Linked DNA regions of Coturnix japonica. The protein of the gene in region 2 interacts with the protein of the main gene of each other region in a biochemical or structural test. Links are inferred from orthologs where the notes say so. Each region holds a gene or a part of one and is shown on either strand. Other genes may lie near its edges.

Region 1 (4,267 bases), on a different chromosome or scaffold from region 2:
ACTCGGAGCCTCGTGAGATCCCACACCCCGACATCGGCCGCTACTTCTCTGAGTTCACTGGCACTCACTACCTGGCCAACACTGAGCTGGAGATCCGGTACCCGGAGGACCTGCAGCTGACGTGTGCCACAGTGCAGAAGATCTACAGCTCCGGCAAGGAGTGAATGGCAGCAGCATCGCGAGGATGGACGCAGAACAGAGTGTAGCTTTACCCTCTTTGCAAACCTTGCCCAGAGGGGGCAAGTTTGGTGACAATCCTTTGGCTTAATGCACTGAAAACTGCATTAAACTTTGTAACCGGTGCTAATGCATCTTTCCGTTGCCTCCCTGCCCGTTCTGGCCCACAGGGATGCTGTGGTATGAGCTGAGGGTCTCACATTGACGGTGGTGCTGAGGAGCGTGTTGTCCTTGGGAACATCTGCCCACAGACTCGTTCTGTGCTTGTCCCGCCTGGAAGGTCGGCGCTGTGAGATCCCTGCTGTGGAGGAACCCCCGTCTTCCAGAGAAGCTGCTTGTCCTGACAGTGTTGTGGGGTTTTTGTTTTGGTTGTGATTTAATTTTCTTAACGTATATCTCACGCAGATGATAGTTTTTAAAGCCTGACGTTCCACTCTGTCTGCTCCAGTCTCAATTTGTGGGAAGCTGCTTCACCTCCATATTCTGGTCATTCACAGAGCTGTTCTAGTTCTGACCATCCTCACAGGCCCGGGGAGGAGCCCAGGGAGCAGCACACTGTCCTAATGCAGGAGCGGAGCTGCTGCTCCCTTACCCTGCCCTGTGTGTGCCATCCCAGGATGGCTCCGACCCACTCAGTGCTGCTTCAGCGCTGTGGGTTCGCAGCCCCTGCTGTGTGTGCTCCTGTCGGTGCTGCTGGCACAGCGGGATGATGGCTGGAAGGCGGCCAGCCTGGAGCTGAATTGCTGATCTGCTGATCGCTGCAGCTCGGAGCCCTTCGGCTGCCGGCAGACGAGGCTGGATGCGGTGCTGGGGGGGCACAGGGGGCACTCAGCCCTTCCGTTCTGGCCACGGGTATCGACTGGGAGAAAGAGCTGCCGAACTGCTCCAGGTTGGGTTGGGATGGAGGTGCCGGTGCCGCCCCCTGGTGGCGGGGCGGTCCCGGGGCGGTGCTGCAGGTTGGGCGGGGCGCTCCCCGCCCGCAGCGCTCCCGGCCGCGCGGTTCCCTGTGCGCACAGCGGCGGCGCGGCGGGGCCATGGGCTCCGCACAGTCTGTGCCCCCCGAGATGCGGGCGCTGGCGGAACGAACCGGCTGTGAGTAGTGACCGCGGGTGGGAGGGGAGCGATAGGGGGGGACAGCGTGGGACGGCAGCGCCCTACAGCCCCCGTGGGGTGGGATGAGGGGTTGGCTGATTGCTTGTCCCCCGGCATCGCGCTGCGGGGAGACGCGGGGCTGACACACCGCAGCACACCTCCAGCCGCGCTGTGACTGCGATTCCCAATGAGGATCATCAGGGATTATTTGGGTTTGCAGCAGTAGCAGAGAACAGCCCGGGGATGGGATGGGATGGGATGGGATGGGATGGGATGGCCCGTTCCTAACTGCGGTGTACGCTGTGGGATGGGATGGGTTGTGGGATGGGATGGGTTGTGGGATGGGTTGTGGGATGGGATGGGATGGGGGGTGGTTGGGGGCCCCACCGGCACCGCAGAGGGACCCCACAGTCCCCAGTGCTGCCCGCGGGAGCTGAGTGAAGCACAGCGGCTCTCCGGTGCCTTTGGGGGCACTGAGAGCTCCGATCGATGCGGCGCCGGGTTCAGGGCTGGGAAACGTCAGTAACTAATGGAGCCGTTAATTAAACATCATAAAAGAGAGGGAGACGGAGCGGCACTGAGCGCGGACCCGCTGCTGGGCTCGGCCCCGTCACCCACGTGCGGTTCCCGGTGTGTCCCCGTTTGTCCCCTCACCGCTCGCTTTCCCCGCAGTCACCTCGGAGAGCAGATCGAGAAGCTCCACCGGCGCTTCAAGCAGCTGAGCCACAACAGGAAAACCATCCGGTACGGGCTGTGCCGGCTGCGGGGCAGGGAGGAGGGAGGAGGGAGGCAGCGCCGATCCCTGAGCCCAGCACTGGAGCATCGCACAGACCTACGTGCGTTGGGCACAAAGCACCCCCTGCCCGGCAGCCCGGCCCCGCTGCTACACAGCGCTGCTCAATGGCAGCTTCTGCTGGGGAAAAGGAGGCGCAATATTGGGGCAAAACCAATCCTTGTGGTCGCGTTTTTAAGGACGGGCCGGGATTTCTGCCCGCAGCGTTCCCTCTCCCCCCCCCCCCCCCGTGTATTCTGTGCAGCAAAGAGGACTTCGACACCATCCCCGACCTCGAGTTCAACCCCATCAGGGCCCGAATTGTTCACGCCTTCTTCGACAAGCGGTACGTGCAGCCCCCAGTGGGGGAGCACAGAATCACAGCGCGGTTGGGCTAAAAGGGCCCTTCCAGCCCCAGCCCCAACCCCTGCCCTGGTTGCCCCCACCAGCTGAGGCTGCCCAGCGCCCGTCCATGGCCATGAGCACCGCTGGGGATGGGGCACCCACAGGTCTGTGCAGCCGGGGCCACTGAGGGCTGCACAAAGGCTGGGCTGAGCCGGAGCCAGGCTGGGAATGAGGGAAATTGGAGCTGAGCTCCGGGATCCGCTGGCGCCGTGCTCTGTGCTCTGTGCTGTGCTCCATGCTCTGTGATTTGTGATTACTGTGGCCGAGCAGCCCTGGGGCTGCATGGTGCCCGTGGGGGGGCAGGTTGTGTCGCTGCAGCTGCATCCCCATCAGCTCTGCTGCCATCAGGAACCTGCGGAAGGCGCCGGCCGGGCTGGCAGAGGAGATCAACTTCGAGGACTTCCTGACCATCATGTCCTACTTCAGACCCATCGAGATGGACATGGACGAGGAGCGGCTGGAGAACTTCCGCAAGGAGAAGCTCAAATGTGAGGCAGTGCTGCGGGGCGGCGGGTTCAGGGGGGGCACACACTGACCCCACATCCCTTCTCATCCCTCCCAGTCCTCTTCCATATGTACGACGCCGACTACGACGGGATCATCACGCTGCAGGAGTACAAAAACGTAACGTATGTGGGCACTGGGGTCCTCCCCGCTGCCGCGCCGCCCACCGCAGCCCCCACTGCCCACAGGTGCTGGATGAGCTGATGTCTGGGAACCCCCACCTGGAGAAGGAGTCGCTGCGTGCCATTGCAGAAGGGGCCATGCTGGAGGCTGCCAGCGTGTGCATGGCCCGCACGGTGCGAGGTTGGGGTGGGGGTGGCACTGCAGGGCTGGAACGGGCCACGGCTGCAGCTGTGACTGTTTGTCTCCCTGTGCGCAGGGCCCGGATGAGGTGTATGAAGGCATCACCTTCGAGGATTTCCTGAAGGTTGGTGCCTCACTCCGCTCCCCGCCGCCCACCAGCACCCGGCCCCGCTCACCCCTTCCCTGCAGATGTGGAAGGGGATCGACATCGAGACCAAAATGCACGTCCGCTTCCTCACCATGGAGGCCATCGCTCACTGCTACTGACCGGGGGCAGGACGGAGCCTTCCCAGCGCCACAGCGCCGGCACAAGGCCACGTTCTGCTCTTTAGAGCCATTAAGAGGTATTTTATCTGTAATAAAAGGTATTTCTGTTTTTACTCTTTGCTGAGAAATGCTCCAGCTGCTGCCAGGCGCCTGATGGAGTTCTCCATGGTGCCATGGGAGGTTATGGGCACCCAGGGAATAATAGGATCATGGGGCCACAAGGCCATGGGGGGACAAGGGCATGGGAGCAAAGGGACACAAGAGTTGAGGGATGCAGGAACAAAGAGTCACCGGGGACAAAGGGATGTGGGGATCCGGGGACCCAGGAACACAGGCTGCATGTGGCTGCCGCCCCCACATGTTCCCACTGGAATCAGAGATAACACTCCACTTACAGCACTAATAACCGGGTGGCTCGAGGCACATCTCTGTCTCTAAGGCAGCCTGAGCCAGGAGGGAGGGAGGGGAGAAAAGGGCAGTGGTTATTTTTAGAGAAGCTGGAAAAAAAAGTGTTTGTTGTTGTCTTACAAACCCACTCCCCCCGTGCCATGGAGCTGCCCCCCGCCCAGCAGTGGGGCACAGCAGCAGTGGGGCACAGTGAGCTCCCCAGCTCCAGGACTCAGATGTGGGCTCCTTTCCAGCAGGGACAGCTCAGAGATACTGCAGCACCGCGCTGCTGCCCTGGCAGTAACTGTGTGCTGTCCTTCCCTGCCTGAGAACTGCAGCACAGCACTGCATTGCTGCAAT
Region 2 (4,502 bases):
CTCCATCACAGCCCAGTCCTTAAGCAGGATGGAAACGGCACCTCTGTGCTTTGTGGTTCTAAATGGCAGAGCCTGAGGAGATGGAGCTGAGCCTGAGCCCTCCCCAAGGCCAGCAGCATATAGATGGGAGCAGGGGCTGAGCAGCACAGCACCACCAGCCCCAGCCCATGGAGCAAAGGGACCACGCTGCAGCCTGCTGGCACATTGCTGCCTCATTCTTCCCCTTCCCCCCCGGCAAAGGAAAAACATTTACAACCGAACCCAACTTGCACTGTGACGGTTCTGAGACAAAGTCTGGCTGCAGTGCTCCCAGCAGCTCCAACTGATGCTGCTCCACCTCCACCAGCACAGCCAGTGCTGGGAGCTGAGTGCATGGAGCTGGGGAAGCTGCAGCAGCACTGCTGAGTCTGTCCCTCACCCCCACCCCTCTCCCACACAGCCTTAAAATACCACTTGGTGCGAAGGGAAGCGCTCAGCAGGAGCCTCCCCTTCCGTGTGGGATGAGGGGAAGCAGAAGCAGCTCGAGCCTGTGGGCCGTGGATTGGTCACACATCAGTGCTGTGCCCCCAGGAAGGGAAGGAAGCGTCCATCAGCCAGCAGCAAAAAGAAGCCACCAACCTCTGGGATGCCCCTGCACTGAGCCCCGCTGCTGTTCATGGCACACAACACTGCTGTGGTTTGGCAGGAAGCTGCTGCACTGCTGGGATAGCTGGGGGAGATGGACAACAGGAGGCACCGAGCTGCAATTAGAGCCACGCTGTTAATTCCCAGCCCACACTGTGTTTGTTCCCCTCTTTGAGGGAGCTGCCTTGCAAAGCCCTACTGGATGGGCAGGGATGGGCTCAGGGGAGATGTTTGTCCCCAACAGAACCCCTTGGGAAGTTGCAAAGCAGCTCCTCCATCAATGCAGCTCCTCCAGCAATGCAACTCCTCCATCAATGCAGCTCCTCCAGCAATGCAGCTCCTCCAGCAATGCAGCTCCTCCAGCAATGCAGCCCCTCCAGCAATGCAGCTCCTCCATCACAGCCTTGCATAACGCTTTCAGTGCAACAGGACCCAGGCTCAGCTCACAACCAGGAATAACTTCCCATAGGCACAAAGGGAAGAAGCAGCTCCACTGCTGGGCTCCACGCTGCGGCGTTGCTCACAGCCGTTGCTTTTGGCTCCTCCTTTCTCCTTCAGCTTCCGCACAGACACTCCGGATTTCATCACTCATTCTGCTCCGAGCAGGATGAAGCCAAGGCAGCGCCACAGCCCCCAGCACCCAGCAGAGGCCGCGTGGTTTGGGGATCTGGTGTTTCCTGGTGTGTGGTTCCTCTTTAGGCACCCTAAAGCCATGTAGGTTGGAGCTGCACCTCCTGCTCGGCTGCTTTGCTCTGTTCCCTCCCAGAAATGCAGTGAGCTGCTGGGGCTGGAATGTTTTCCCTTGTAAATCAAGCACGAAGGAAGGGGAAGGAAAATGGGGTTTAACCAGGCAGTGCACATGAATGGGGTGGGGTACGGCGGGGCACGGTGTGCATGGGGGTCACCTGGACCCCTCTGCGCTGAGCAGAGCAGGGGTTGGAGCACTCAGTGCACAAAGCACCGTTCCCATTAAGTCACAGCTCTCCATGAGGAACAACTGCCGTTAAACCCGATGGGAATTGAGGTGCAAAACCCACGGGAATGCAGAGCTGCTCCCATCCCTGCCCCCCTTCCAACCTGGAAAAGGGAACAGCGCAGAGAAGCCCTCGGAGCTGGGCACTGCTCACAGCCGGGGCTGCTGCACTGCATCCCTTAATGGGGTGATTCCCCCACTATCAAAGCTGGGGAAGCACTCGAGTAACCGCGGCCACTTTGTGTCCCATCATCCTGAGCCACATTGAGCTGCCCAGCGGGTTGTGCTGCAGGCAGGGATAGGAGGGAAGGGAGCACGGAGCTGTTAGAAAGGATTTCTCCAAGGTTACAAAAGGCACAAGGTGGGTTTGGAAAGGAAACAAAGCACCGAACAAAAGCTTCCTCCCCACCGGTGGAGAAAGCAAAACTAAAACGTCAGGGTGCAAGGGAGGATCCGCTGTGGGGTGGCATTAGAACCATCTGTAGGGTTGGGGGGCACTGTGCTGCTGCCAGGCCTGCGGCAAACACAAGGTCGTGGGGAGAGAGGAGGATGCCCACTGCTGCTGTGGGATGGGGGGGTTCGTGTGGGCACTGGGATGCACCGGGGGGGCTGCCCTGAGAGGACAGGGGGGCTGCAATGGGGTGTGCAGGGTTTGTGAGCCCAGGGGGTTGCATGGGGGGGTTGCAATTGGGTGCTCATAGGGCTGCAGTCAATCAGGGGGTCTCAGGGCTCACAGTGGGGATCTCAGCGGGATGCTCACAGCACCCACCCCCTGCACCCAAAGGGTCCCTCCCTCCCGGGGGTCTCCAGCCCCGCGGTGCTCCCTCCCCCCCCCCACCCCCCAGCCCCCAGCCCCTACCCATCTTCATCAGGCAGGCCAGTAGGATCCAGAGCGCGATCTCGAAGGGGATGCGGACGTGCGAGTAGTCGATGCTGAGCACGGGGAAAGCCTTGCGGGTCTTGGGGTGCCCCTCTGCCGAATGGTTGTGGTGCTGCCTGTTCAGCGGGTGAACCTCCTGCGCCGTGGCCGGGGGGGCGGCGGTGATACCCCCGGCTTTAACCCACGGCTGCTCCTCGGTGGGTTCGGGACCGTGCGAGGCGTTGGCCTGCAAACCCTGCCCGGGTAACAGCGGGCCCAGCAGCAGCAGCAGAGCCCAGGGAAGGGCTCGCAGGGCCGCGGCCCCCATGGCCGAGGGAGCCGGGGCCGCCCCGCAGAGACGCTGCGAGGAGATGGGACGGCAGCGGAACGACGGTACATCCCGGGGCGGCCGGGGGGGGACGCGGGGAGGAGGCGGAGGCGGAACGTGGAGAGCTGGGAGGGGACGGGGCGGGGTGAGACGGGGGGCACCGGGAATGGGAGGGAGGGGGGTTAAAGGGGGGATTAAAGGGGATGTAAACGGGGGTGCTGAAAGGCAGGGACAGACTGCAAAGGGTGACGGTGGGAACGGTGAAAAGCAGGGTGTAACTTTAAGGAGGGGGGTTAAAGGGGGGCAAGGGATAAAGAGGGGTGCTGAAAAGGGGCGTAAGGCTGCAGGGTGCAATGGGGATGGGAGCGGGGTGCAAAGCGGGGTGCAGGTGTTAAGGGTTGCTTAGGGTGGGAAGGGGAGGTGTGTGGTGCAAAGGGGGTATAACTTTAAGGGGGGGCAGAGGGGGGTTGGGACTAAAGGGGGGTGCTGAGAAGCAGGGAGTGACTGCAAAGGGTGCAGCAGGAATGGGAGGTGCAAAGTGGGGTGCAGCTGCAAAGTGGGGTGTTACTTTAAGGAGGGGGTAAGTGATGCAAGGACAAAGGGGGGTTGGTGAAAGGGGGGGTGCTGAAAAACAGGGTGTAACTGCAGTGGGTGCAAGGGAATGGGGGGATGAGGGGCATGGTGCAAAGCAGGGTGCAAATGCAAAGCGAGGTGCAGCGCAAAGAGCAGTGCAAGCTTTGAAGAGGAGGGGTGCAAACACAAGGTGGGATGTGCTGAAGAGCGAGGTGCAACTGCTAATGGGGGCCTGGGGTTGTACTGCAGGGTTGCACAGGGGTGAGGTGCAATGCAAAGCTGGGTGCAACTGCAGAGGGGTGCAGAGGTGCAATGCAAAGCTGGTTGTGGGGACTGTGGTTGAGCCAGAGCAAAAAGTTATGGTGAACCAGTGCAAGGAGAAGGAAGTGCAGACGTCTCGCCAGGAGCTTGCACGAATGTTATAGCAAAGGAAATAAGCAGCAAGGATGTTCTCTAGGTTGAGCTGTGCGTGATTAGTGATAAGCCCTGGGTGGAGATCTGACATGATAATGAGCAACCACCTGAGGTTAATGAGCTGGCGCTGAGCTTGCGCACGCGTGTTACGGAGCAAGTTAAGTAACAAGAAGAGAAGCAATGGGTGACGCCATGCGTGCTTAGGCTGGCACCCAGCTCTGGGTGTGCTTGCTTTGAGAGCTGTTGCCTGGCACCCAACTCTGCAAAGACCTGAAATAAAAGTTCAGCGGTGCAATTCAGCTCCGTGTGCTCGTTGGTTTTAGGGTGCTGTGCAACAAGGGGAGTGCTAAAGCAAGGGGAGGTGGGGTGCAAGGTGAGGTGCTGGGGTGCAGAGCAAAGGGATGGATGTGCAAGGTGTGCTGAGGCTGCATATGGACCAAGGGGCCATAATGCAAGGTGTGAAAGGAAGGGAGAGGAGGGGATCTGGGTGCAGGTCCATGGGGTGCTGCTGGAAGGGTGACAGCTACAGCATGACACTGTGTTATGCGGCTGCTTCACTGCAGAGAGAGAATACCTTGCTGTGGGAACTGCAGAGCACTGGGAGAGCGCAGCAGCTGCTCACAGAGGGGAACAGTGGGGTATGCAGAGCTGCTTCCAGCAAGGACACAACTGGTGGGCATTGGCTGCTATTCTGGGCCTGCACGCTGCTGTAACCCCATCTGCGCTTGGTG

What was found. The genes of interacting proteins can lie anywhere in the genome.
Region 1: the proteins of SLC9A1 (region 2) and TESC form a complex in vitro, tested with the Homo sapiens proteins (4 studies listed by BioGRID and IntAct, with this or other methods). The link is inferred for Coturnix japonica from reciprocal best matches to the Homo sapiens genes SLC9A1 and TESC.

The regions. Positions count from the first base shown.
Region 1 is NC_029530.1:10,142,418-10,146,684, forward strand, and holds the start of TESC (calcineurin B homologous protein 3), read left to right. Parts: upstream 1-1,211; coding exon 1,212-1,273; intron 1,274-1,941; coding exon 1,942-2,013; intron 2,014-2,306; coding exon 2,307-2,387; intron 2,388-2,794; coding exon 2,795-2,934; intron 2,935-3,008; coding exon 3,009-3,070; intron 3,071-3,138; coding exon 3,139-3,246; intron 3,247-3,329; coding exon 3,330-3,377; intron 3,378-3,442; coding exon 3,443-3,520; 3' UTR 3,521-3,597; intron 3,598-4,267. Other genes in the region: FBXO21 (F-box only protein 21), read left to right, coding at 1-164. UniProt on the Homo sapiens protein: Functions as an integral cofactor in cell pH regulation by controlling plasma membrane-type Na(+)/H(+) exchange activity. Promotes the maturation, transport, cell surface stability and exchange activity of SLC9A1/NHE1 at the plasma membrane.
Region 2 is NC_029538.1:1,686,697-1,691,198, forward strand, and holds the start of SLC9A1 (sodium/hydrogen exchanger 1), read right to left. Parts: upstream 2,882-4,502; 5' UTR 2,785-2,881; coding exon 2,457-2,784; intron 1-2,456. UniProt on the Homo sapiens protein: Electroneutral Na(+) /H(+) antiporter that extrudes Na(+) in exchange for external protons driven by the inward sodium ion chemical gradient, protecting cells from acidification that occurs from metabolism.